2 linked regions of the Macaca mulatta genome follow. The protein of the gene in region 1 interacts with the protein of each later gene in a biochemical or structural test. Links are inferred from orthologs where the notes say so. Each region holds a gene or a part of one and is shown on either strand. Other genes may lie near its edges.

Region 1 (14,432 bases):
GGCCCGACAAGATGACCAGCGAGTCGCCCTGGACCTTCTGCAGCGAGAAGTACCAGGCGTAGGCGACCCGAGAACCGCGCTGCACACGGGCTGTGAAATTCCTCTCGGTGCCTGTGGCGATGCCAGGCTCGCAGCAGTTGGGCACTTGCAGCCCACTCACAGCCTCCAGCACCACGATGCGCACCTGCGCCTGGGCCCAGCTCACGTGGTTTTCACCCTGCACGCTCACCACGTGGTCTCCGACACGGGGGAAGCTGTGGGAGAAACGGGGCCCGGGGAGCACCGCCGGGCTGGCCCCACCGACCTGCAGGCGGAAGGTGACGGCTGAGCCAGCAGCCAGCAGGATCTGAAAATGGACGAGCTGCCCGGGCGCCACCACCTTGCTGCTGGCCCACAGCACCAGGCCCACGATGGGCTCCTCCACCGTGAGGTTGTGTGTGGCTGAGACCCAGCTGACTGCGTTGGAGGCGTTGAGCTGGACAGAGAAAGTGCCAGCATCCGGGAAGACCATGGTGACGTGAGGGCCACGCTTGCTGCTGCCGCCGGGTACAGCCCAACACCAGCTCACATTGGTGCCTGTGGCCAGCTGCCCCCAGAAGGGCACAGAGGACCCAGCCGCCACGAAGCTGCCTCCCGACTCACTGGCCCTGATGCTGAGGCCACTCACAGGCACCTGCACGCCCACTTCCACAGTGGCGCTGGCTGAGCCCAGCGGGTTCCCTGCCGTGACAGTGACCAAGTGCAGGCCGGGCGTGGGGAAGCTGTGGGTGGTAAATGGCTCAGGGGTCTCCCAGCTCAACCCCTCCTCTAAGGACCAAGTGTACAGGACACCACTGCCACCAGCCAGCTTGGCACTGAGGGTGACGCTCGTGTTGACGGCAGCTGGGTTCGGGGAGGCGGTCACCATCAGCCACCCCACAGGCTCCACGAAGTCCACAGTGCAGTCGGCCCAGGCACTGCCCAGCATGTTGGTGGCCCGCAGCTGCACGTGGTAGGTGCCAGCCTCGAGTGCGGTGAGCGAGAAGCCTTTGCCGCTGCCGGCCAGGGCCGGGCCCCTATCCCACCAAGCGGTCCAGCTGTAGGAGACGTTGGTGCCATCCCTGACCACAGCCTGTAGCTGTGCCGTGTGGTTGGTGGGAAAGTAGCTGCCACAGCCCGCTACCTGCAGCCCCTCTATAAGCTGCAGGACGTAGACGAAGATGCTGTCCTGGGCAGAGCCCACCTCGTTCTCAGCTGTGACGATGATACTGAAGGTGCCCACGGAGCGGAAGGTGTAAGAGATGGTAGGGCCCCCAGGGATGGGTGTGCAGCGGTCACAGAGCACCCAGGAATAGCGCACATCACTGCCGGCCTCCAGCGAGGTGCTGAAGCTCACGCTCCCATTCAGGGGCACCACCGTGCGGCTGGCGTTGACAACCAGCCCCCGCACACGCCGCTTCACTGTCACATTGAGCCAGGCCTCGCTGCGGCTCACATCATTCCAGCCGGCCACCCTGACGGTGAAGTCGCCTATGCTGTTGTAAGCGTGGGTGACCTCCGGACCCTCCAGCCGCCCACCATCCCCCAGATCCCACAGGTAGCTGGCGGGGCGCCCACGGCCGACAGCAGAGAACAGGTACGGCTGCTGCAGCTCCAGCACGAGGGAGCTGTTGACCTTGATGTCCGTGACCACCACAGGCTCCTGCACCTCCACCAGGGCTGAGTCATTGGCAGCAGAGACGTTGTTGGACGCGGTGACTGTCACAAGATAGGAGCCTGGGTCTCGGTAGGTGAATGTCACCTCGGGGCCCCCAGCACGGGCGGGGGCGGCTTCCTCGGTGCCAAAGTCCCAGGCGTACCGGTAGGGGAATGGGGGCCAGACACAGGCCACGAGCCGGACCTCGTCCCCGAGCTGCACAAACTGCCTCTCTGGCTGCAGGGTGACGTTGCCCACCTCCGGCTCCACGCAGATGCTGGTGAAGTAATGCGCCTTGTTCACGGGGCTCGACAGCACGAGCGCCAGGGGGAACGTGCCGCTCCGCGTGAAGTTGTGCGTCACCGTAGGGCGCCCCCGCACGGTTGTGTTGGAGGAGCCGTCCCCAAAGGTCCAGTCAAAGAGGTAGTGGGCCGGGTTCCCAGTGACGTAGGCCGTGAGCCGCGCGTCGGGCTGCGTGGGGATGCAGGCAGCGGGCTCGATGCGTAGCACCTCCAGGACGAAGACCAGCACGTGCAGGCTCTGGGCCAGGCGGCCGGCAGGGCTGGCCGCACCCACGGTCACTGTACAGTTCTGCGCCCGCAGGTACACATGCTCCACTGTGTCCTCGGGGCCCGACAGCACGGTGCCGTCCCCCATGTCGAAGGTCCACGTGATGTCATCGCCAGTCTGCACCGCAGCGCTGACCACCACGGGGGCTCCCTGCTCCACGGCCAGGCTCATGTTCACACTGAGCCCGCGGAGCTCCTCAAAAACACGCACATCCGCCTGGGCCAGAGCGCTGCTCACTGTGTTGTTGACCTCCAGGTGCACGCGGTAGGTGCCCCTCGAGGCGTAGGTGTGGTTGGCAGTCGGCTGGCTCTGGGTCAGGACAGGGGAGCTGTCTCCGAAGTCCCACGTGTAAAGAACACCTCCAGGTGAGGGCAGCGGGTGCGGGTAGAAGGTGATGGGCCGGCCGGCCACCAGGACACTGTCGCTCACACCCACAGCCATGGAGGGCAGGGCCGCGCGCACGCTCACAGGCACCTGCTGCGTCAGGTTCTCGAAGGCATTGGACGTCAGCACGGTCAGGATGTACTCACCTGTGGGGATAGGCCCAAGTGGGGCGGCCGTGGCACCCCCACCCGCTCCCTACCCGCTTGGCAGAAGCTCCCGCCTGAGGAGCCCAGGGTGAACGGCTACACCTGCGGCCCAGCCCTAAGGGTCCCAGGCTCCCAGGCCACGTGCGGGATGGAGCACAGGTGCGGCAGCACTGAGAGCTGCCAGGTGAGGACAGTGCCACCTCCAAGTGCAGCTGCTCTCAGGGCAGCAGAGCAACAAGAGCCAGGCCCAGGGGGCAGTTCAGGGGGCCCAGCTTCCCCGTCCACTCCCCCCGATGCCTGGCCCCTTCCTCACCCCAGTAAGAGCCTAAGCCATCAGCCCAGGTGGAGTCACAGTGAGGGCTGCTGGGGAGGAAGGGGGGCTGCTGGGGAGGAAGGGGGGCAGCTTGACTGGGGGGTTGGGAGGTGCCCATGCTCAGGGCCTGAAAGGCAGCAGCCCTCTCACCCCCTCATCCCTCACCTGGGGCAGCGTAGGTGTGCGTGACATTGTGCTCCACCAGCACCTGGGCCACTGAGGGGTCTGGAACCGGGAAGGACTCGTTGTACGGAGGGTGGAACTGGCGGAGGGCCTGCTCCCCATCCCCAAAGGTCCACCTGCCAGGGCAGTGGGAGGCAGTGAGTGGACCAGGACAGAGGTGCGCGGTGGCAGGGCAGGGGTGCTTGGGACCCAGCCAAGGCTCCACCCTGCAGTCATGCCCTGGGCCTCTGTTCAGGGCCCACCAGGCTGGGCTGAGGCCTCTCCCCGCTCCCGTGCAGCCTCAGGGCTCCTGTGCACCCAGCACCTCCCAACAGACGGAAACCGAGGCTCAGAAAAGCAGCCCCCTGGCGTGGGGGCCCTCAGCTGAGACTGGGGCTGGGACAGGAGCCTGGTGCCCACCCCCCAACCGGCCCCCGAGTCACTCACAGGAAGGCCACCTCCACAGCCGAGTCCACCAGCACGCCTGCCGTCAGTGCCAGCGTGGCATTGGGGGGCAGCACGGCCGGCACTGTGGAGACCCACAGGCCCTGCATCCGGTTCATCCGCTCCACGGTGACATTGTAGTTCACAGTGACGTTGCTCACATGGTTGGAGGCCGTCAGCTGCAGGGACAGGCGTCAGTGGGCACAGGCGGCAGGTGAGAGGCCCGGCCCTGCTTGGCGTCCCTCCCTCCACTCACCCACAGCCACGGCAGCGTCCTCAGGCAGCAGAAAGCAGAGCAGAAAGCAGAGGTGAAGGTGAAGCCCGCCCCAACCCCATCAGGCCCCCCCATCCCCTCCCCTCCCCACGCCCCCGCCTATCCCTTCCCCACACCCCTGCCGCATCCCCTCCCCTCCCCATCTCCTCCCTTCCCCTCACACCCCCGCCCCATCCCCTCCCCTCCCCACGCCCCCGCCTATCCCTTCCCCACACCCCCCCCCCGCATCCCCTCCCCTCCCCATCTCCTCCCTTCCCCTCACACCCCCGCCCCATCCCCTCCCCTCCCCACCCCCCCGCCCACCTACTGAGAGCTTGAAGACCGCTGCGCTCTGATAAATGACATTGAAGACTACGTTCTGGAAGGTCAGGGACTGCTTGTCGTTGATGGTCCACCGGAAGACCACGTCCGAGCCGGCCTCCACCACGGGGCTGTACCTCTGCGGGGGGACTAGTGTCAGCCTGGACTCTGTGGAGGACCGCTCTGCCCTTGGCCTGTCGCCTCCTGGACACACCTCCCATTGGGCTGGAGAGTCCCACGCAGGGCACAGAGTGGAGGAGGTGCCCGGGGCTCTGCATGCCATGGGAGCCAAGCCTGGGCGGGGGCACTGACTATCCGGCTCTCCAACCAGCCACATTGTACTACTGATGCCTCAACCTCTCTGTGCCTCAGTTTCCCCATCTGTAAAGCAGACCTAGTACCAGCTACAAAGAGTCCCCCTCTCTCTGAGTCCTCTCAGACCCTCCTGGGGCTCCTGCCCCACCTCCTCAGCCAGAGAGCTCGGAGCAATGAAGGGAGACACACCGGCCTCACAGGGACAGGACCCACATCGGCTGACAGAACCCAGGACAGGCTGCACAGGTCATGCCAGGGCCATCAGAAACGGCCCCTCCCAAAGCCCCTGGTGCAGCGGCAGGCACCCACAGGACGGAGACAGCCCTGTCCCGCATGTGCCCAGCATGGTAGCACCGCAGGCAGCCCGCAGTTTCCCATCAGAGGTTCAGTCTTCACCTCAAAAGCCACTCGCTTTAGCCAGGCGAGAACACAGCAGAGGGTGTGACAGACTCACGGGGGTTCGCGTGAGGTCAGGGGGCGGAGTTTTAAATTCATTTCATGAAATGAGACAGTGGAATGTGTTAGCGGAGCCGCTGTCCGAGCTGTGACTTTCCAGGAATTTAGAGCCCACCAGGTAGCCTGAGGAGCCAGCCAGCAGGACCTGCCCAGGGCTGACGTCCCCAGTAACTGGGCTGCCGCTCTCACTAGGAAGCCAGGCCTCGCGCCCTGTGTGGGCACCCTGTCTGTGGGCACCTGCCTGGGGGCTGGCGGCAGAGCCTCAGCCGTACTCACCACTAGGACTCCCTGCAGCACACGAGCCTCAGGGCTGGGCGTGGCACGGAGGCCACAGATGGGCTCCTCCGCCGTCACCCGCAGGCTGAGGTTGGCCTGGCTGGCACTGTTTTCCGCCACAACCTCCACCACGTGCTCCCCCTCACTGAGCCACGGCAGTGCTACCACTGAGAACTGGGTATCGTTGGTCTCCCAGGGGCAGCCGGGCAGAAGGGTGGCCACCAGGGCAGGGCAGGCAGCCTCAAAGCGGGTGCTGACATTGCCCCCAGGCCAGCGAGCCGTGGCCGTGGCGTTGGCACCAGAGTCCACCTGGAGCACCAAGGCCGAGCCATTGGTGGGCACGTAGAGGTGGCCATTGTGGGGGGCAGGGTAGATGACCCGCAGCCCAGCCACTGGGGAGACCACGTTGAAGCTGCAGGACAGGTTATGCCTGGACACGCCATTGCCCACCTCTGCCCGGACCTCATAGCGCCCAGGCAGCCGCAGCCCAGGGTTGGGCCGCAGGCCCAGCAGCACGGTGAGCTGTTCCGTGGCTGCAAGCAGCCGCAGGGCACAGGCAGGGCAGTCCCGAGTGCCCTCCAGCTGGGCTGGCAAGTGGGGCAGCCAGGCCGAGGCGTTGGCAGAGAGGTACAGGGCCTGGGGGCCAGGGTGGCCGGGAGCCGGCGAGCAGTGCAGGAGGGCGCCAGGGCCAGCGTCGTGCTGCAAGCCAACGAGGTCACCAGGGAGCATGAGGACATCCTGGCCATGGAGGGTGACCTGTGGCAAGGGAGGCAGGGCTGCATCACGTCCTCGTGGTCATGGCCCGTGGACCCCTGCACAAGGGAGGAGGGGGGACAAGCAGGGCTCCCCACTTCATCAGCCAGGCCTCAGGGAACTCCCCACGGAGCTCATGACAGGGACAAGCAGGACAGCTGCGGACAGGGGAACACACGGGGAGAGGACACAGGCCAAGATCTGGCAGGCAGGAAGGAGCAGCTGTGCCAGGAGAGGGGACAAGGAAGCACAGCACGTGCCAAGAGCCCAGGCGAGAGCTTCTCCCATTGGGAGAGGGGCAAGAGCACTGCAGAGGTCGGAGGTTGGAGGTCAGAGGTTGGAAGTGGCAGGGACATGGGAGTAGCCTGCAGGCTGGGTGTGTCGGGTGAGCAGACCCAGACCTTGGGCAGCAGACAGGAAGGTGGCCTGAGGAGATGCAGGGGACAGACTCAGGTCAGGGCCACACACCGAATACTGCGCGGGGGGCCCCGCAGGAACGGAGAAGAGGAACTCTCTCCATAGCGCATAGAGGGCCCCGGGCAGCCCCGGCCCTGACGTGCAGCCATTGGCCTGGGGATGGCAGGAGGCGTCCAGCGGCACGCAGACATTGGCTGCAGGGCACCAGCGTCCCCCTGGCATGCACTCGGGGACCAGCTGGGTCCTGTTGTCCGGGGACCTGCTCTCAGGTTCGCTGCCGTTCTCTGGGGTCCCTGCGAGGAAGGGAGGGTTGTTGGGGCCCTGATTCGCCCACCGGCCACCGTCAGAGATGCCCACCTGCCTGCACCGGCAAGCCTGGCTTTGCTGTGAGAACAGGTCTCCCCGCCTGGGCAGCACTCCCAGACCAGTGCTGTGTCCCTGCCTCCGGCCAGCCGACTGACCCAGGCCGGCCCCCAGGCAGGCCCGACCCGATCCATCCCTGGGACACCTGGAACGAGCTGGTGTCTCTGGAACCCCAGCTCTGTCCACCAGAGACAGGGGACCGCTCTGGTGGCCACGGGACCAGCAGACGTGAGAGCTCAAAGAGGCCACCCCGAGCCCTGCGGTGCCCACCACCCCAGAGTCCCACCTGCCGTGCTGAGGAGCCGGTACACCTGCAGTCGCAGCTGGGCAGGCCGCCGGAGCTCCTGGGTCCCAAATTCGGCTGTGGTGAGGAAGGCTTCGTGGCTCAGACTCAGGCCCGGGAATACCATGACCTGGAGGGTAGGGGGCCGCCTCAGCTCCACAAACTCCACCCCAGCCTGAGGCCCAGACTCCCCTGACCCAAACTTCCCCAGAAAGAGGGGAAGGAAGGGAAGTGAGCCTTCAGACCCCCACATGCCATGCTCCTGTCGCTCACGAGGAAGACTCCGATGGAAACTGTCCATGGGCAGCAGGACCCCGACCTGCCTTTCAGGAATAACTCGCAAACACTCAGAGAAAAGGCCTGGGGGTAACGTGAGTCAACACTTTCCTCTCTGCACTCTGGGTTTTCCCAACCATCTTCACTAGGCCCAAGCAGCATTAAGGCCCCCAAGATTTTTAGCGATGCCCACAGTGGGCAGGGCAGGCAAGGCCTCCAGGGGCAAGCAGGAGAGTGGGTTCTAGAACGCAGAGGGCCAACTACCTCCACGGGCTCGTGCGGGGCTGAGAGGCCATCCTGCGGTGTCAGAGGCGTCAGGGGTCCCTGCAGGTCCCCACTAGGTGCTCCCACGAGGAGGTTCTCGGCATCCTGCACTGGGCCTGGGGTGGTGAGTGCGCAGTGAGGCGTCGGGCCAGGGCCCAGGACACCAGGGCCAACAGACTGGGGACTGAGCAGCCCGAGAGCTCCCACCAGCTCCTCCACCTCCACCGTGGGCCCTCGGCAGACCCCTAACCATAGCCAGTGTCTCAGGACCCCCGCCTGGCCCCTGCACACCTCCAGGCCGCAGTTCGCAGACGTAGCTGTGTGGCGCTGAGCACAGGTCGGTGTTGCACCACCCGGTAGGCCCGAGCCGGACGCAGTGCTCAGCTGTGGCTGGGTGTGGCTCCCCGGGCAGCCAGTTCTGGCAGCTCTCCAGGCTGAAGGCCTCGCCCTGCGGCGCCAGGCCCGTCTCCGCCCCCTGCACAGTCGAGAAGCCGATCCACACGTCCAGGCTCCTGTGGGCGAGTGTGGGATGGCAGGGGGCTCAGGGCACTCCTCCATCCTCCTACCCTCACAGTAGCCCGTCCAGAGCCCCATCACTGTCCCCCTTTCCAGATGGGGAAACTGAGGCTCAGAGCCCAGAGAGCAAGGCCCACCAGCCCAGGCTCACAGCAGCACCCACTCATGGGGCCTGTGGGCACCGGCAGGGATCTCCGTGCAGGCCACCTCCCATGTGGCGTGCCCCAGGAGGGTCCAGAGGCTGTCCCCAGCTCACGTCAGTCTCTGTATCTGCAGAGCTGACGCAACGGCCCTGCCGGCCGGCGCCATCTCCTCACCAGGGCCGGCCCAGCTCCCGTCTGTCTCCACCTAAGCCTCCCCAGCCGTGGGCTCTGCCCCAGTGTTTTGGAGATCCCCCAACCTCTGGCCCCTCAGGGGTGGGGACAGGCACCTGGTAACCCGGGAGACCAGGAAGCGCTGCACGGCGGGACTGTCCACCATGGCCAGGGCGGCCCCAGCCCAGGCCCGGCACTGCTCCTGTGCCTGCAGCCAGGCTGCCTTCTCCACCACCAGGCGGTAGCAGTGCCCGTTGCCAGGGAAGATCTCCGTGTCCGAGGGGCAAAGCGGGTGCACCACTGGAGACCAGTGGGAATGAGAGTGTCAGTGGTCAGTGTGGGCCTAAGATGGGGGTACCAGGCTCTGCCCCACCCAGATGGCCCTGGGGAGGAAGGGGAGGTGGGCAGGAGGCACTCACCTCGGGCCAGCTCCTCACCCAGGGCCACGATGCTATAGGCAGCCTCCAGGCCTGAACCGCCACGGTTCTGGATGCTGAGTTTGAGGCTCTCGTCACTCTGCACCGAGGACGGGCACACGAGCTCCAGGGCAGCAGGTGCCGCTTCCACCTGCACGTTTGTCCCCAGCAGGGCTGAGCTGACCCCCAGGGCCACCACTGCCGTCACATGATAGCGCCCAGGCAGCACATAGCGGTGCGAGGCAGCCGGGCCAGCGGCATCCACCTCGGGGGAGCCATCTCCGAAGTCCCAGCATGTGGCAGTGACAGGGAGCGGGGCAGCGATGTGGAAGGCTGCTAGCTGGCCAGAGGCCAGGGGTCCATGGGGCCCCACCAGGGCAGCCCCTGGGGAGGCAGGGAAGACATGCTGGAGGAGGGTTGGGCCCCCACAGTCGAGCGCAGGAGGCGGCGGGGGGCCAGAGCAGAAGGACAGGCAGGCGAAGGAGGCACTGGAGGGCTGGGCTGCCCCACACAGGCACCAGCCCTGCTCCGAGAGGGCCGCAAGGCCCCGGCCAGTGGAGAAGCAGAAAGCACTGCAGGCCTCTGGCTGAAGTAGGCCTTCGTGGGCAGCTGAAAAGGCCACTGCTGCCACAGTGCCTGAGCTGTTGTCAGGGAGGCAGGCGATATACTCCTCACCTAGAAGAGGCAGCCGCTAGACCCTGGGTTCCCCTCCTCCTGGCTCCACCCCATGCCCCCCATCCACCCGCCACACTCACAGGCTCCCATGCTGCTCTCTTGGCCCGGAGGCCCTCCCAGGTGTCTGCAGGGCCCAGGTCCCACCTGGCTGGGAGCAACAGAGCTGGCCCCACCCACTAGCACTCACCACAGTCACTGTCCAGCAAGGGGATGCCGAGCAGAGGCTGGCCAGCCAGGGAGCCAGGCCCAGCACACGTGGCCGCCTCGGGCTGCACCACCCGCACTTGCTGCTCCTCTGCCCATCGCGGCAGCCACACCAGGCCACAGTCACACTCAAACGGGTTCCCACTCAGGTTTCTGCAAGGCAGGGGCAGGAGTTGGGGACCAGGTCTGGTGGGAAGGGTCTACACCAGCCCCTTACCGGCAACCAGGCCCTGGAGCCACGCTGACAGCACCGCCTCCCCTGCCCCAACCAAGCCGGCCCTGGGGGGCTCCAAGCAGGCAGTGAACTGCCCCCAGGATCTGGTCTCAAGCCTGGAATGGGACACAGACCAACTGGGAGGGCAGAAGGGATGCTGGGGGCCTGGGGTCCAGCCACTGACACCCACCCAAAGAACCACAACTTACATTTCACTTAAATTAAATAAATTAGCAAATATTCCTTCTTCTAGCGTAGAAATCTTGTTGTTGCTTATATCCCTGGAAGAGAAGGGGGATTCGGCAAAGCTGATGGAAGCCCCCACAGCCGAGCAGCAAGAGGCGGTGCCGCCGGCCCATCTGGGATGAACCCTGCATGCTGGCGAGGCTGGGGGACACTCACAGCTCTGACAGTTGCGAGAGGTTCGCCAGGAGCCCGACGTCCAGCGCCCGGAGCAAGTTATGGGAGACGTCTCTGAGGAGTGAGTGGCAGTGGGTCAGGGCCAGAGCCCCTAGTAGGCCAGGCCATCCCTGGGCCCACCCCACACACTTTTAGCAACCCCAAGCTATGGCCTCCCACCCTTGAGCTCCCCACTCCCTGAGGTCAGGAGGGGTCTTTCTGATGGAAGACCCAAATGAACGCTCATCTGGGGAAACCAAGCCAGGAGAGGCCTGGGGGCCTCAGCCCTCTGTACCCATCGCAGCCCTATGCCGAGTGCCACACAGACCTGTCCACCCAGGGCCAGGATGGGCACAGACCCCCAACCCATCCCATGCAGGGCCAAGGTCCTGCAATTTCTTGTCCACAGTCGCCCCCAAGAGCCAAGGCCCCCTGTCCCCTGTCCACAGACCCTCCATAGAGCCAAGGACTCCCATCTCCTGTCCACAGTCCCCCCCAGAGCCAAGGCCTCCCAACCCTGTCCACAGCCCCTACACAGACCCAAGGGCCCCCATCTCCTGCTCCTAACCCAGCAGGGTGGTCCCACTGTGGGACCACAACCAGGTATGAATGTGTGAGAAGCAGGCTCACTACCAGGCTACCAGGGAGCACAGGGAGCAGGCACCATCTTGAGGCATAAACCCAGGAGAAACGAGACATCCAAGATGGCCGGGCACGGTGGCGCACGCCGGTAACCCAGCACCGTGGGAGCTGAGACGGGAGGATCGCTTGAGCCCAGGATTTAGAAACTACCCTGGGCAACACAGTGAGACCCCATATCTACAAAAAATACGTATCAGCCAGGCATGGTGGCATGCGCCTGGGGTCCCAAACACTCGGGAGGCGGAGGTGAGACAAATCGCTTGAGCCCAGAGAGGTCAAGGCTGCAGTGAGCTGAGATCGCATCACTGTACCATAGCCTGGGTGAAAGGGCGAGACTCTACCTCAAAAATAAATAAATAATAAATAAATAAAACATCAAAGACCAGCAGACCTAACTCCATCTAAAATATACAACTTCTACACAAAATATAAATAAAATCAGAAAACAAACTACAAGTTGAGAAAAGCACTAGCAACTTAGATGACATATTGAAGGCCAAAAATACTCTCCCAACACAGCTAAGAACGAAAAAGTCAACTATTCCAGTTAAAAAGAAGAAAAGGAATTTGGGTGTGGTGACTTATGCCTGTAATCCCAGTGCTTTGAGAGGCAGAGTAGGGAGGACTGCTTGAGGCCAGGAGTTTGAGACCAGGCTGGGCAGCATAGCAAGACCCCATCTCTACAACGAAAAAAAGAGAATCAGCCAGGCATGGTGGTGTATAGTTGTAGTTCCAACTACTCGGGGCGCTGAGGCGGGAGGATCGCTTGAGCCAGGGAGGTCGAGGCTGCAGTGAGCTCTGATTGTGCCACTGCAGTCCAGTCTGGGTGACAGAGCAAGACCCGGTCTTGAAAGAAAAAGAAAAAAAAGAGGTCGGGCACGGTGGCTCACGCCTGTAATCCCAGCACTTTGGGAGGCTGAGGTGGGTGGATCACGAGATCGAGAGATCGAGACCATCCTGGCCAACAGGGTGAAACCCCATCTCTACTAAAAATACAAAAATTAGCCGCGCGTGGTGGTGGGGGCCTGTAGTCCCAGCCACTCGGGAGGCTGAGGCAGGAGAATCACATGAACCCCAGAGGCGGAGCTTGCAGTGAGCCAAGATCACACCACTGCACTCCAGCCTGGGCGACAGAGCGAGACTCCATCTCAAAAAAAAAAAAAGAAAAGAAAGGAAAGAAAGGGAGGACAGAGAGAGAGAAGAGAAGGGGAAGGGGAAGGAGAAAGGGAAGGGGAAGGGGAAGGGGCCGGGTGCGGTGGCTTCTGCCGGTAATCCCAACACTTTGGGAGGCTGAGGTGGGTGGATCACGAGATCAAGAGATCAAGACCATCCTGACCAACAGGGTGAAACCCCGTCTCTACTAAAAATACAAAAATTAGATGGGCATGGTGGTTGGCGCCTGTAGTCCCAGCCACTCAGGAGGCTGAGGCAGGAGAATCACGTGAACCCGGGAGGCCGAGGTTGCAGTGAGCCGAGATCACACCACTGCACTCCAGCCTGGGCAAAAGAGAGAGACTCCGTCTCAAAAAAAAAAAAAAGAAAAGAAAAGAAAACAAAAAAAGAAAGGAAAGAAACAGAGGACAGAGAGAGAGGAGAGAAGAGAAGGAAAAGGGGAAGGGGAAGGAGCCAGGTGCGGTGGCTCCCACCCGTAATCCCAGCACTTTGAGAGGCTAAGGCAGGCGGATCACCTGAGGTCAGGAGTTCAAGACCAGACTGACCAACATGGAGACACCCCATCTTTACTAAAAATACAGAATTAGCTGGGTGTGGTGGTGGGCACCTGTAATCCCAGCTACTCGGGAGGCTGAGGCAGGAGAATCACTTGAACCCAGGAGGCAGAGGTTGCAGTGAGCTGAGATTGTGCCACTGCACTCCAACACTCCATCCTGAACAATAAGAGTGAAGCTCCATCTCAAAAAAAAAAAAAAAAGAAAAGAAAAGAAAAAGAAAAAAGGAGGGAGGGAGGAAAAAAAGGAAAACTAAAAAAAAAAAAAAAACCCAAAAAAAACAGGCAATGAAAAGAAGCACAATTGGTCACAGCTGTGGGAAAGACAGTCCATGTCAGTAGTCAGTGGAGAAAAAGCAACAGAAACCACAGGGCGGCAGCATGTCTCTCTTTTCAGAGCTGCCTGAGTACAAACCAGGTCCTGGTGCTGGTGACAAGCAGGTGAGAAGCCAGAGAGCCAGGGCAAACCGAGAACTCCATGTTCCCTCGGCCTCAGGCACCTCCGGGGTCACCATGTTGCCCACCCTGGGTGCCCCTCCTGGTCCCACGCACTCCCAGTAGTGCACCTGGCACAGGGACTGTGGCTCCCTCCCCAGCTCTGCACGCCAACCCCTTGCTCCCCAGGCCCCCAAGGCCTAGCCGCCTGCCATGGGCCTCTACTTCCCCAGGTGTCACCCTCCCCACACGTGACCCAGCAGGTGCCTCCGCCCAGACCTGCTCTTCCCAGCAATGACCACCTGGCAGCCAGGCCTAAGGTAGGGTGGCCTCCATTCCTGAATGCCCGCCCGGCCCCTGCCAGCCTCCAGCCCTGCTTATCGGAGCTCCACTCCCATAGCAGCCTACCCTGGCCCAGGAGAGACGCACACACAGGCTGCCCGGAGGGACCCGGGGCCAGGGCAGGGGCTTCAGAGGGGAACCAACAAAGGGGACCAGAGGCCACCCCAGCTGAGGGGGACAGAGCAGACGAGGCCATCTCCATGCCAGGAAGCAGCACCAGCCACTGACGGTGGAGCTGGGCCCTGACCCGGGCTGGGTGTCCAGATAGACGAGGTGCTGGGCACCCGGCTCCCGGAGCTTCTCATTCCATCTGCAGATGGGGGGCATGCTTGGGGGTGCAGCTCCCTTCCCCCACAGGCTCTGGGACACTCAGAGAGCCTGTGCCAGTGCCCTGGGCTCCAGGAAGGGAGAGGATCTGGGGGCCAGGCACACAGGGAATGGCCCCTCTGGCAGGGCCACCGTTTTCCCCCTAACTGAACTCAGCTTCTCTGCCGTCCCCTCCTCTACACCAAGGTGGGGACATGGGCTGAGGTGCTCCTCACTGCCCGTAAGGACGGGGGTGCCCACAGCCGCACTGCTGGGTGTCCACAGCATCCCACTGTGGGATGGGACAGGCCAGCGACTGGAAGACCAGCAAGAGGCCATTCTCGAGACAGGGTGAGGCAGCCAGACTCCCACTCATTGCCCAAGCATCATGCCCGAGGGGGACACTGTGCCATGAGGAACGGCAGTTAGACCTGAGGAGGGACTTGCCAGCGGCTGCAGCGGCAGCAGAACCAACGCTTCAGGGAGAAATGAGGCAGCAGCTCTAGGGGGCAAGGGGTGCTGCAGAGGCCACGGTGAACACAGGCAGGCCCCCTGGAAGGGACACAGCTGTG
Region 2 (14,532 bases), on another chromosome or scaffold:
AGCAAGACCCCTTCTACAAAAAAAAAAGTGTTTAAAAATAAACAATAAATATCCCTACAAAGGACACAAACTCATCCTTTTTTATGGCTGCATAGTGGACATGGATGCAGCTGGAAACCATCATTCTTAGCAAACTATCACAAGAACAGAAAACCAAACACCGCATGTTCTCACTCACAGGTGGGAACTGAACAATGAGATCACTTGGACTCAGGAAGGGGAACATCACACACCGGGGCCTATCATGGGGAGGGGGGAGGGGGGAGGGATTGCATTGGGAGTTATACCTGATGTAAATGACGAGTTGATGGGTGCAGCACACCAACATGCACAAGTATACATATGTAACAAACCTGCACGTTATGCACATGTACCCTACAACTTAAAGTATAATAATAATAAATTAAAAATAAAATAAAATAAAATAAACAATAAATAAAAATTAGCCAGGTATGCTGGCATGAGCCTGTAGTCCTAGCTACTTGGGAGGCTAAGCCAGAAGGATCACTTGAGCCTAGGAGCTCAAGGTTATACTGAGCTATGATCACACCAGCCTTGGGAGCAGAGCAAAACCCTGCACCAATCAATCAATCAATCAGTCAATGTAATAAAGATAGGCTGGGTCCAGGCTGTGAAAGAACTGGTGTCATGCTAAGAAGTTTGGGCTTTTAAAGTCAAATCTGGCCTAATCTAGCTCAGGAAATCTAAAACCTATATGAAGAAATTAAGTTTATTTAGAGATTTCCTGAGCTACAGTGTGCTCTAGAATAGATTAGTACTGTTGACCCCAGTCAAGCAAGGGCTGGCTCACAATTTCCCTCTTTGAGAACAGTAATATTCTAGAAGGGTGGACACCTGAACCCAGATGGAGCAATAATAAAACTCCCTTTGCCTGGCCACAGTGGAGTAGTCCATAGGTATGCACCTGATCTAACACAATCCAGTCACACCACTTTCTTGAGGTATTCAGTTTTAAATGTTTACATTTTGGTTCAGATACCCAGAGAAATCTTAACGGCTTCCTCATACTGTGCTGGGACGTAGAGTAAAACTCAGTAAAAGTAACAGAAAATAGATAAGACTTCCTGGGTACAGTGGAGCAGCAAGGGGATCTGGGCCAATGATTCTGATCAATGGAACCAGATCCATTTAAAGAAGATATTTAAGTACATAAAACAGAAGAAAAAAGTAGAATATCTATGAATAGATTTCAGAGGCACCACAGAGTAGAAAGAGGGACTGAGTAATAGAAGAACAAAGGAAGAATGTCTCAATAGACTTTTCAAGATCAAAACAGTGGCATCTACTGAAAAAGCTATAGAAAGAACCCTGTGGCCAAAGAGGCAATGAGAATTCATAATGTTACTTGATTTAATAGTAGAAATCTACATATAGGAAAGAAAGGAGACACAGTGCTTTTGATTTTAACCAAAATGATAAGTAGAAATAAAAATGCATAGCCTCTACTCCCTATTCTTACTTTTAGATCTGAGAGAGACCTATAATATGTACTTCCTGCTGAGAAAATAAAAGAAGGCATGGTACAGCGCACTCTCTCACTCCTCTCTTTAACCCTCATCTTGCAGTATCCAGTTCTCTCAAGGTGAATGATGGAACCCAACAGCAATTGTAGCACTGACATCCACTTCAATGTGAGTAACAGGCTTTCTCCCTGGAAACTTCACTTACTGCTTTTGAGTATGGGATGTGTACTACAAGACTTTAGGCTCTGGAATCAGACCTGGATTCAAAACCTAATGCCACCCCTAGCTGAACAACCCTTGGCAAAGTATTTAGCCTTTCAAAGTCTCCACACACCTGCCAGGGGAGAAGGGAGGCAGAACTAGGGAAATATAAACTAAACTGCCAGAGTTTGAGATACAAAATAGTTAAAATATGTCTGGCAAAGTGCTTAGAGCACAGGGTATGTTCAATAGTCCCCCAACCCCCTACATAGCACCCCATAGTCACTGGGCCACAAATATAGTACAATGGTCCTTTAGCTCTGCTCCTTTCTATAAAATGAGGGTAGACCACACTGCAGGCCTCCAAGTCACAGGGCTGGTTCCCTGCAAGGATTAGTGGAATCAGTCTCTTAAAAGTCTTTCATGCATGGCATATATTTAGGGACTAATTAAGTCAATACCCAGACTAATGTATGTGTAGTGATTCATCTTTCAAAGGTTTTCTACTCCTTTCTTATCACCACCACTCATAAATGAACCCTCATTACCATTATTCTCCTAAATTCCGGAAGAGTTTTCTCTTCCAAGGAGTCACATGACTTCAGCCACTTTCCAATTCAATCCCATCTCTAGAAGGTTATCATGCCTATCCTGGCCAAAAACTCAAACATTTCATTAAGCAATCATTTTTTCTTCTTTCCCTCAGCAGTGGACACCTGTCATTCTTTTTCGCAAGGGACAATGGGACCCCATTATTATATGTGGAGAATCCTCTCTTTTATGATATGGAGCCCACATTCCACTGTAGAAGCTATATGCCAACAGCGACAGCAGCACTACCTCACAGGACAAATTCTGCAGAGGGATTTGGAGCCTTGTTTCTACTTGAGTGGCTTCAAAGTCAAGTCTGCGGACTATACCAGAGGTTCTTTTAAAAAAAAAAAATAGGGTTTTTCTGTACTGCCCAGGCTGGAGCATGGTGGCACAATCATGGCTCACTACAGCCTCAAATTCCCAGACTCGTGATCCTCCCACCTCAGCCTTCCAACTAGCTGGGACTTCAGGCACACACCATCATGGCCAGGTAATTTTTTCTGTGTTTTTTTTTTTTTTTTTTTTTGTAGTGACAGGGTTGCGCCATGTTGTCCAGGCTGATCTTGAACTCCTGGACTCAAACGATTCATCCACCTTGGCCTGCCAAAGTGCTGGGATTACCGGCATGAGCCACTGTGCCCACCCCATACCAGAGATTCTATGAGCTAGTCAATGTGGTGGACACATCCTAAGCTGACCTCCAAGGAGTCATGCCCTTGTATAGTCTTATGTCACTCTCTCACTATTATATTATAGTATATAAGACTCTTTCTTATCAGACTGGAGCAAGAGAGATTTCCTTGCCAGCTTTAAAAAAAGTAAGCTGCCATGTTGTAACAGTGCCTATGAGAGGGCCACATGGCAAAGAATAACAGCAGCCTCTAAGAGTTAAGGGTAGCCTCTGGCTGACAGCCAGCAAGAAAATGGAAGCCTCAGTTCTAAAGCCATGATGAGATAAATTCTGCCAAAGAGAAAAAAGCTTGAAAGTGGATCTTTTCCCATTGATCTTCTGTTGAGATTGCAGCCCTAGCCAACACAGGAGATCTCTGGCCAGAGGACCTAGTTAAGCTATGTGTGGACTTCTGAGCAATGAAACTGATATGATAAAGGGGTGTTGTGTTAAGCAGCTAAATTTGTGGAAATGTGTTACACAGCAAGAGAAAACAAGGTTAATATCCTCTTATAAATTTATTTAATGTTTATATTAACTAAAGTTAGTTTCCATGACTTGCTACTGAATACCTTGAGTGACACACAGACTATCCAAATCTTACCCTTCTTTCAGTTCCACTTCAAATTCCACTCATCACTGTTGTACTAGAACTAAACCAGTCCACACCCATCTCCTTCTTATCACAGGTTCTGCAGAGATGTGAAGAAAGTACCATTTCCAGCAACCTCAGCGCTCCTCATGCTCACCAGCAACACATTATACTCTCTCTGGTGCAGCAAACAATAGATAGTAGTTTTCCTCTCTTTGAAGCTCTAAACAAAATTCATCGTAGTAAACAGGAAACCACATATGAACTTTTTTTCAGTAGTTGATACTTAATGATTTGGATGAGCTCCTATAAACCGTACATTTAGGGAAAGGAAGAGTAAAAATAAATATATTAGCTTAATAGAGAGCTCTTGGTACTGTCTGCTTATTCAAAAATACTTGCATGAGATTACATATTACCATTTTCTACAGAATTACAATGCTTCCTTCTGCAAGCTAGATAATATATTCCACTGTTAATTGTAATAATGCAATATCAGAAGTCTATCACTTTGGCTGTTACAAATCATGTGGGCAATTATCCTAAAAAAAATTCTAGTGGGGTTTGAAGGAGAGGAGATTTGGTGAGATGTAGAAAAACAACAAGTTTCTGTCCATTTTCTTTTTTAAAAAAGTCTGATTTACTCGGATATGAGGTCTACATGGACAGAAATGACTAGATAATTCCATAAACCTTCTGTTCACTTTGATATCTGTAAGTTCGGCCAAAGACACAGAGCTGATGAGAGAAATGGACATCCCGACACCCAGAATATGATCTCTGACCATTACTGGCTGCCTCTGGAGTGGACACTCCATTACTGTCCCCATCAATACTCTCTCTTCCCAAAAATCAGGTTCTGACTTTTCTTGCTAGTGAGGCTAATGATCCTCAAGCTTGACAACTGTGCTGATAAACTTCAAGGGCTGCTTTGATCAGTAGAGTGGCAGTAGGTAGTTGATAGGGTGAGGCCAGCAGGGGCAGAGAAATATGTGGACTATGGATTGACTGCAAGAACAAATATTCTACAGAGGTGTGTGCGCTTGTTTGTTTATTTCAGCAGTAGCTATTAGAGTCATGGTTCTCTCCCATCAACAGGCCAACAGTATGATCCATCCCCTTATGATTATATTGACTGATTTAAAATCTGATCTGCACATATATAAAGATGACCACTTTAAAAATCTGGAAATACATAAATTTATGAAGTTATCATAAGATACAGGAGCAGCTTGCTTTCATCATTAAAATACAGGAAATATAGATGTTACACTTAGCTTCACACTGATTCACTATTGTGTAATGTTGGGTATATCAGTGTACCTGCTGCCTCCTTCCTAAAATGAGAACTATATGTCATCCTACCTATCTCTCAAATGTTTTGAGGAATCACCAAAAAGTGTAAGAATTATAATAACAAACTGGGAAACAATTGTATATATCTGCAGATGCATGCAGTAAAAATTAAGTATGATAACTATTGAAAGCAAAAGGCTTCAAGCAGTAAAAGCCCCCACCAACTTAAACAGTAATACAAATTACATTTTAAAACAAAAAAAACCAATGAAGCAAAAATAAAAAGCCACATTTGGATGTAATAACAAAAAATGTCCATAACTACAATATTTCACTAATGAGAAGGTACAGATGCTACATACAGAAGGATTTTATGATGTCCATATGTTTCTCAAATGACTCTCCTTGTTAGCTAATTCTCCACATCTCTATTTAAGAATAACCTGCACCTTCCCCACTGAGCGTGTACAAATTATAATGTAATATGTTGTAATATTTAAACAAATTCAAAAAAGAAGTAATTCTAATAAAAAGAAAGGAAAGCTACATAAACCTAGATGTAGATATTAATAAAAATCTGAATTCTGGTGTCGTTCAAATTAGTTAATTAAATAGGTTTTTATCTGGTCAGCTGGCCTTAACATTCAAAACTCCTAAACCTCAAATAGAGTTCATCCATATCTTAAATATATAATTATTTATATATAGTGGCAATAACTTCATAAAACTCTTTCTACTATAATAACGGTTATAGTTAATTTGGTCACCAATCACAAAAATCTATAACCATGTATAAAATTATCTTTTAATTGCAAAAGAGCCATCATTATTTTTACAGAAGATGGCAGTTTAGTGTGCTAAACACTCTCTACTCAGAGTGCTGGTCTGACTCTCCAATAAAGACCAGTCCAACAGGCTGAACTGCAGAAGGAAAGAAACAGGAAGATCAAGGTTAAAAAAAAAAAAAAAATTCTGTCTCCTACCCATAAACTGGTATTTAATTTAAAACTCTTAACTTCCTTCTGCACAACCTTATGTGCATCTAATCATGTCCATTCTGTAGTAAAGATAATCAATTCACGAGCAGAGCTAAGAAAGCATCTCTCTCCCTCTGGCTGGCAGTTTATGAAAGGCCAGACAGGATTCCCACCTTACATGCCTCTGTTTAATAGCTAAAACGTATATGAAAACACTAGCTTTTTCCCACACAGAAAATGGCATATTCTAAGAAAACGCTGCTCTTCTTCAAATGTGCCCCATTCAAACGAAATGGATGAGAACAAATTAGAAGCAAGTTTTACAACTGACTAAATTACGTTGTTTCGGAAATACAATATTCTTATTAGCCATTTTAAATATAAATGGTTTCCAGAAGGAACATCAGTAATTTGATGTTTGGGGAATTAAATTAGTCCAAACTGGAACAGTGGTTTAAAAGGATAAGGAGGACTAATTATCTGTGGTAAAAGGCAAATATATTAAACAACAAATTTTCAATCACAATAATTTCCATAATAAATATCAAAAGTACCAAAGAGAAGTTCAAAAGATATCCTTTAAACATGATTTCTAATTTATTAAATGCAACTTATTCTGTGCTGTTGTTAATTACAGGATTAGAAAGATTTCTGGAGCATCGGAAAATAACATCCAGGCCTTTTCAAATGTCAAAAGGTTTTCTTTTGGAAGATTTTAAATTTTTTTTCCTTTAATATGGGTTCTCTATGTATGTACTCCCCTTTTCCAGATTTCAATAGTGCCTGCAAGATTTGAAAACATGACAGCGCTCTGAATACTTGTAATTGCTAAATCTTACTCCTTATGAGAAATCTCAGCACAGCAAGAGTATTTAGTTGTATATGCATTGTTATACCATTTGGGGAGAAAAGAATTAACTCTTCGCTTTCCTTTCGGGTAGAAGTTAAACTTTTTAAGCCTTTCTTACCCCTTTCCCATATTTTACACACACATACACTCCCCACATACATGTAATAATGAATATATGTAGATATCTCATTTCTCACATGATTTCAAAATGCTACAGTTACTTAAAGCTGAAAGTTCCTTTTAGGAGATTACACACACCTCCCTGGAAGAAAAAAACAATTGACAGATCTTCCTGAAATTGGAGCATAGGAGACTTACTAGAGAATTCTCCAAGTCCACATCACGGGAACTACATCCTCAGCTCTCTATCGCAGGCCACCTCTCCTGACAACCGCGCCTCGGATCTGGAGAGAGCTGGGTCCCGCTCTGTCACATCACAGACACACAGGCCTGACACCAGCACCTCTCACTGCGGACAAGTGGGTGACGGCTTCAAAGCCAAACAAACGCAGCCTGCTAGGCGCTCAGGGAACGCCCCCGTCCTCTGCTCCTTTTAGTCCCCGCTGTGACACCCTCGTATGGCATCTAATTAGCCAGTTAACCTTAATAAGCTTACGATTCATCACTCTCCTTCCACTAGCCAAGGAACTGCTTTATCTCCCATCCTCCAGCCTCTTGAACTTTTCTTAAAACCCAGGATTCTGATGTATTGACTTAAAACTGAAGTCCCCCAGGAAACATCAAAGGTACCCCCCAATAAGCGTTGCTCCCCTCAAGCAACACGTTGCCAGTACAAACTTTTCATTCATAGCTCGGCTCCAACATAAACTGGGTGTGTTTGGGGGCGGGAGAGAATCACGCCACCGGCCGCTCCCCTCGGTTTGCCAAATGTCAGGGTCTGTACACAAAGATAACCTAGCACCCAACTTCTGACAAAGGTTCCGTTAAACCCACCGGTCTCCGGGCTGCGAGATGCGAGGCAAGTGGCATCAGAGTCCGGACTGAGATGCTGTTAACCTGCGGAACCCGAGCAGGGAATACCGCGGCGCATCCTGAGGACCGGTGGCCCCCAATTCCCAGGGCTTTCCTCGAGCACCAGCCGGGGACTCGGCCGTGGTGCCACTCACCTCCGCCCGCCCCTGCTGAGGCTGTCGCGCCCTCCTTCGCTCCGCGCCGGCGACCTCCTAACTTCTCCCCCTTCTCCAAACAGCCATCTTTCGAGGAGGAGAAGAGAATGGTGAGGCAGAAGCAAAAGGGGAATGAAAGTTGACTCGGGGACCGCCGCTGCTCCTCCAGCCGAGATTTACCGGCCGCGGCGGGCACTAGAGGAGGAGACCGCGGAGAGAGCGGCGGGCGCGGCGCGGCCGGCTTGGTGCGCGCTGCGCGATGTGCGGGACGCGCCGCCGCCGCCGCCGCGCGGGGGGAGCTCAGGAGGGCGGCAGCGGGCGGCTGCGAGCTGCGAGCTGAGCGGGTGGCGGCGCGCGGAGGATTTGCTAAAAATAGCACTTCTTGGGGAGGGAAGTGGGGGACGGAGGTGGGAGGAGAGGCTCGGCCGGGAGCCCCAGCGCGGCGGGGGTTGGGCGGGGCTGGGTGGGGAAAGGAGGAAGGACCCGCGGCGAGAGCGCGGGCCCAGGCGCTGGAGACCCACAGGGCGGGCCGGGAGGCGCGGGCCGGAGGGGATTACAGGCGCGGGAACACCTGGGCGCGCGGCCGACGCGCGGGGAAGGACGCGCGGGAGGCAGGAGGGCAGCAAGGGCAGCGCAGGGTGGAGCGGAAGAGAGCTCCGGGCTGCACTAGCGTTTTTTTCCCCCGCAGGGGAAGGACCAGGGAGCGTAAGGCGACTTGGGGTTTCTGAAGCGAGACATGCCTACGCGAGGAGCGGGGTGTTGGTCAGGCGGCGGCCGTGACAGAGAACGGTGCTGGGGAGAAGCCCGGCCGCTGTCGCGCCCTCCGTGACTCAGGGAGCCCCGGCCGCTCAGGTGCGCGCCGCGCAGCGCCATCCCGCCCCAGCTGAGCGACTTCTTTTTAAGAAGAGGAGGTAGCATTGTGGGGCGGTACCTGGAACATCCCCACAGATGCCTGGAGCTTAAAGAATCATTCAAGGGAATTTTAAGAGAAAAAAAAATGCTACATTTGGGGTTTTTCAAATGGGAAACGTGAGGGAATATGGTGACTGCTGTTGGAAACATGACTTAGGTTTGCCGTGTTTTAAGGCTGAACAGAGAGGACCATTCGCTCTGAAACCAACCCTGAAAGAAGGCAAGCAGAGTTAGAAGGGTCAAGAATTAACGAGGTGATCTCCTTCAGTGGTTAGTATTCTTACCTTGGGGATTTTTTTTCTGCTATAACTGAAGTCTATACTAGCATCACTAGTAGTTGTGGATTCCTTTATGAAGCGTACAACACTAAAATATTTTTTAAGTGTAATCCTAAACATACTTGGCTAAAGCTAACAGTTGATCACTCAATGAGGCTAATATTTATGGTGTATGTAATTTGACCGTCAAACGAATTAAAGCTGGTGTCTCTGCTTTTATATTTATGGTTTTCCTCTACGTCAGCTAAAACACAGCTAGCTCATAGATGAATTACATGGATGGAAAGAGCAAGAAAGACCTAACCCAGTGCCCTCATTTTCAGAGGAGAGAACTGGGATCCATGGGAGTAGTGTGATTTGCCCAAGGTCTCACAGTGGCAGAGTTCAGATTAAAATTTAGGATTAGGGCCTAGGTCCAGTAGCTCAAGCCTATAATATAACCCCAGTACTTTGGGAAGCCGAGGCTGGAGGATTGCTCGAGCCCAGGAGTTCGAAACCACCCTGGGCAACAAAGTGAAACCCCCATTTCAAACAAACAAACAAACAAAAACCTCAGGAATAAAGCCAGACTACCAATTTCATAATAGCAAGATAACTCGAGAAAAGGAGTGGTATGGTATCTGTACTTTTAAAATAGTTAAGCCTTCTTAGGAGGATAAAAGTGTATGACTGCTAGATTTATCCCTCCCTTTGCCCTGATCAAGAATTCACACTGCAGGAGTGGTCGGCTAGCTTTAAATAAAAATTTAAAAATAAAAAATAATAAAGGTCGTACTCCAAAGACTGTTGGTGCTAGAGCTTCTGCTTAACTTTCTGTCCACACTGAGGATTCTGTTCATTAGCATGATGAATCTTAGTAATGGGTTCTCATTTCATGGATGAAATTGATGGTATTGACTCAAGTAGAGATATTTCTGATTTGTATATATGCCAGATATAACTATTTCATGACCTTTCACCCTTTACCTTTCAAAATGAAGAAATGGTGAAGTGTCCAGCCTTTAAGTTTTTGGAGGTTTTGGGGGTTTTTTTGGTTTTTGGTTTTTGTGGGGATTTTTTGTTTTGTTTTGTTTTGTATTTTGAGATAGGGTCTTGCTCTGTCACCCAGGCTGGAGTGCAGCTGCACCATCAGGGCTCACTACAGCCTTGACCTGGGCTCAAGTGATCCTCTAGCCTCCCAAGTAGTATCTGGGACTAACTTTTTTAGAGATGAGGCCTTACTCATCTGGCTCACCTGGCTGAGGTAATGTTGATCAGGTTTCTCCACTGTAAATTTACTCTTTTTTTCCCCTTTACATACTATATTCTCTGAGAGGAAGTCATTATGTGCAGCCCACACTTAAGAATTAGAGCTATGGCCTCTTCTTTTAGGGCAGAGTATAGTGCCTAGGCTGATTTTTTTTTTTTTAATGATTCTGTTTGCCTACAATTGACTCTAAAGGAACTCTCTCTGTTGTCTCTCAAGAAACCTTTCATGTAAAGTGTGGTTGAAGCACATAAAAGGAAATGTCCCTGGGATTTCACTGGGCATCTAAAACAGATTTTGTGTAATAAAGATGTATATGGCAAAATTTGAATTGAAACTTACTTTCACCTTTTAGGGTGGTGATACCATGCATAGTTAACCTTCACTTAAGTCTAATTATTTAAGTATCCCATGTGCAGGTCATTTCACAAATGGGAGCAGTCCTCGTCATCATTCTGCTAGATATTTGAATGCTGAGTTTGAGTAAGATACATGCTGGGTGCTACTAGAGACTCAAATATTTTAAATTATGACTGACTTGAAAAGATAATTTATCTTAAAAGTTTTGGTTGGGTTGGCAAGTTCTCTGTTCAAACCTATATTGTTGCATATATGACACTATATTATAATTTTTTCCTGGTTTTAGTCTCTTGTCAGCTGAGCTGTAAGAGGACAAAGATTACTCATTCACTTTTTTGTAGTTTTTTAATAGACTATTTTTCCTTCAGTTTCAGATTTACAGAGGAATTCAGAAGATAGTACACTAAGCCTTGAGTAACACAGTGATTAGGAGAGCAGACCCCCTGCAAAGTTGAAAATCCACATATAACTTTTAACTCTTTAAAAACTACTAATAGCCTACTGCTGACCAGAAGCCTTCTCAAAACATTAACAATTAACACACATTTTGTATGCTATATGTATTATATACTGTAGTCAAACAATAAAGTAGAGAAAAGAAAAGTTTATTATGAAAATCATAAGGAAAACATATTTATTATTCATTAAGTGGAAGTGAATCATCATAAATGTCTTCATCCTCTTCATCTTCCTGCTGAATAGGCTGAGGAGGAAGAGGAAGAGGAAAGGTTCATCTTGTGTCTCAAGGGTGGTCAAGGTGAAAGAAAATGTGCATATAAGTGTATCCATGTAGTTCCAACCTGTGTTATTCAATGGTCAACTGTATAGAGAACAATACACACACACACACACACAATTTCTCCTGCTATTGTCATCTTTCTTTAGTATGATACATTTTCTACAATTACTGAACTGGTATTGGTAAATTATTAACTGAGGTCCATAGTTTATCAGAGTTTTTTTTTTTTAGCTTTTACTAATGTGCTTTTTGTGTTTAAGGATCCCATCTAGGAGACCACAATATATTTAGTGATCATGTCTTTTTAGGCTTCTGGCTATGGCACTTCCTCAGACTTTCCTTGTTTTTTATGACCTTGACGGTTTTGAGGAATTCCAGTCAGATATATTGTAGGATACCCCTCTGTAGTAATTTGTCTAATGTTTTTCTCATGGTAAAAATAAAGTTATGGATTTTGGAAAGGAAGATTATAAAGTTTTGTTTTCATTACATTATATCAAGGGTACATACTAGGCAACATGATTTGTCACTGTTGATGATAATCTTAATCGCCTGGCTGAGGTAATGTTTGTTAGGTTTCTCCACTGTAAATTTACTCTCTTTTTCCCCTTTACATACTATATTCTCTGAGAGGAAGTCACTATGTGCAGCCCACACTTAAGGAGTAGAGATATGGCCTCTTCTTTTAGGGCAGAGTATCTACATAATTTATTTGGAATTCTTAGTCATTCACTTTTTATTTCCAAAGATCAGCACAGAGCCCTCAGCATAGTAGGTTCTTAATACATGTGAAGTGTAAGAATAGGATTAAACATAATTTTTCCCCTTAAGAAAGTTTATAGGATCTGGATGTCAGCAAAATGGTGAATAAGACTTTCTAATGCTTGTACTCCTGCAGAAACATCGATCTGAACAACTATACATGCACAAAAATACACCCCCCAGGCCACCTGCTGTGGCCCTATATGCCAGTGAACCCACAGTTCAGGCCTGCTTCAACAGACCTTGGGTCTAGGCCTATCCTGATAGACCCCAAGCTCCAGGCTAGCTTTCATGGCTTCAAGTACCAAGCCAACACCCATGATCCTTGCTTCCAGGCTATAACCCAGAGATGCAGGATCCAGTAGACCCAGAGTCCAAACTCACCCCAGTAGACCCCAATGTCAGGCCAGACCTCATGGACCGAGACTGCAGAACCAACCCTGCCGACCCAGGCTCCAGACTGGCCATGGTGGACCCAGGACCTAGGCCTGCCCCTGCAGACTCAGCCTCCAGGGCAACCCCAGTGCAGGCCAGTTTCCAGCCCCATCTTAGTGCCTGCCCATCCCCTGTAGATTGAAGCTCAAAGCACACAGCAGAACTAGGTCAGCCCCTATAGACCCAGGATTTGGGCAGGATCCCATGGACACAGGCTGTAGGCATACTCCCATGGACTCAATCAACATGTCCACCCCAGTGGATGCAGACCCCAGGTACAACCCCGTAGACCTGGGCACCAGGGCAGGCTCCCTGGGAAATCCAGCAGTAACTCTACCTGTGAACCACACCAGATAGCATGCCCAGAATCTCTAGACAGACTGACTGGTAAAAGGTTTTCCAGATAAAGTGTGTCTGCAAAGATTGTAATAAGTCCCTGTTTATTCAAATTAACAGACACCAACACATACCAATAAGGTTCAAGAAAAATCAGGGAAACATGACACCACCAAACAAGGAAAATAAAGTGCTAACTAATCCTAAAGAAATTGAGATCTATGAAATGATTTACAAAGAATTCAAAATAACTGTTTTACGGAAACTTAGTAAACTTGAAGGAAATATGGAGAAATAATTCAATGATAAATGATGAAATGAGAAATTTAATAGAGATCAAAATTATCTTTAAAAATCAAATCCTAGAGCTGAAAAATGTAGTGAATGATATAAAAAATACAATAGAGAGCATCAACAGTAAAATTGATGAAGAAAAAGAATCTGTGAACTGGAAGACAGGTTATTTGAAAATATATAAGAGGAGAATATGTAAATAAGAGGAGAAAACAGAAAAAAAAATTAAAGGAATAAAGAAAGCTTACATGATTTATGGGAAAGCATCAAAAGAGAAAATATTTGAATTATACCATTTCGAGAGGGAGAGAAAAGAGATAAAGGGCCAGAAAAATTACTATTATTTTTTTCTTTTGAGAGGAAATCTCACTCTGTCATCCAGGTTGGAGTGCAGTGGCGCGATCTCAGCTCACTGCAACCTCTGCCTCCTGGTCCTCTGCTCCCCAGTCCTGCTGAACTGTGAATCAATTAAACCTCTTTCCTTTATAAATTACCCAGCCTCAGGATGTCTTTATTAATACGATATCAGAGGTAGCTATGCTTATATCAGATAAAATAAACAAAGAAGGTCATTATGTAATGATAAAGGGGTTAATTCATCAACAGTATATAACAATTATAAATATATATGCACACAACATCAAAGCACCTAGATATGCCTCAGCCTCCCAAGTAGCTGGGATTACAGGTACCTGCCACCATGCCCAGCTAATTTTTGTATTTCTAGTAAAGGCAAGGTTTTGGTGAAAGATATAATCTAGTGAAAGATATAAATATCACTGTATGGGAAGGTCAAAAGTCTCCAATCAGATTCGATCCAAATGGGACTACACCAAGACACATTAAAATCAAACTGTCAAAAAATAAAGACAAAGGGAGGATCCTGAAAGCAGCAAGAGAATAAGCATATCACACATAGAGGAGTTTTAAAAAGGCTAGCAGTGTATTTCTCAGCAGAAACCTTATAAGCCAGGAGAAAGTGGGATTATGTATTCATGATGCTGAAGAAAAAAAAAATAGAAATCCTGCCAATTAAGACTACTGATATTCAGCAAAGTTATTCTTTAGAAATGAAGGAGAAATAAAGGCTTCCCAGAGTTTATACCACCAGAACTGCCTTACAAGAAATGCTAAAGAGATTTCTTCAAGCTGAAGAAAAGGACTCTAATTAGTAAGAAAAATATGTATGAAAGTATAAAATTCACTGGTAAAAGTAAGCACAGGGTCAAATTCAGAATATTCTAATCCTGTAATAGTGGTGTGCAGATCATTTATATTTAGTATAAAGGTTAAAATACAACACTATTAAAAATAACAATAGCTACAATAATTTGCTAAGATATGCACAATATAAAAAGATGTAGATTCAAACATCAAAA

Evidence for each region.
Region 2: the proteins of PKD1 (region 1) and HDAC9 form a complex in vitro, tested with the Homo sapiens proteins (2 studies listed by BioGRID, with this or other methods). The link is inferred for Macaca mulatta from reciprocal best matches to the Homo sapiens genes PKD1 and HDAC9.

What each region holds. Positions count from the first base shown.
Region 1 is NC_133425.1:3,338,217-3,352,648, forward strand, and holds part of PKD1 (polycystin-1), read right to left. Parts: intron 10,485-14,432; coding exon 10,413-10,484; intron 10,292-10,412; coding exon 10,220-10,291; intron 9,950-10,219; coding exon 9,780-9,949; intron 9,593-9,779; coding exon 8,921-9,592; intron 8,802-8,920; coding exon 8,618-8,801; intron 8,184-8,617; coding exon 7,963-8,183; intron 7,788-7,962; coding exon 7,672-7,787; intron 7,262-7,671; coding exon 7,135-7,261; intron 6,779-7,134; coding exon 6,537-6,778; intron 6,072-6,536; coding exon 5,316-6,071; intron 4,408-5,315; coding exon 4,276-4,407; intron 3,874-4,275; coding exon 3,698-3,873; intron 3,388-3,697; coding exon 3,254-3,387; intron 2,776-3,253; coding exon 1-2,775. UniProt on the Homo sapiens protein: Component of a heteromeric calcium-permeable ion channel formed by PKD1 and PKD2 that is activated by interaction between PKD1 and a Wnt family member, such as WNT3A and WNT9B. Both PKD1 and PKD2 are required for channel activity.
Region 2 is NC_133408.1:110,192,561-110,207,092, forward strand, and holds the start of HDAC9 (histone deacetylase 9), read right to left. Parts: upstream 8,055-14,532; 5' UTR 7,792-8,054; exon of another isoform or gene 7,619-7,791; intron 1-7,618. UniProt on the Homo sapiens protein: Responsible for the deacetylation of lysine residues on the N-terminal part of the core histones (H2A, H2B, H3 and H4).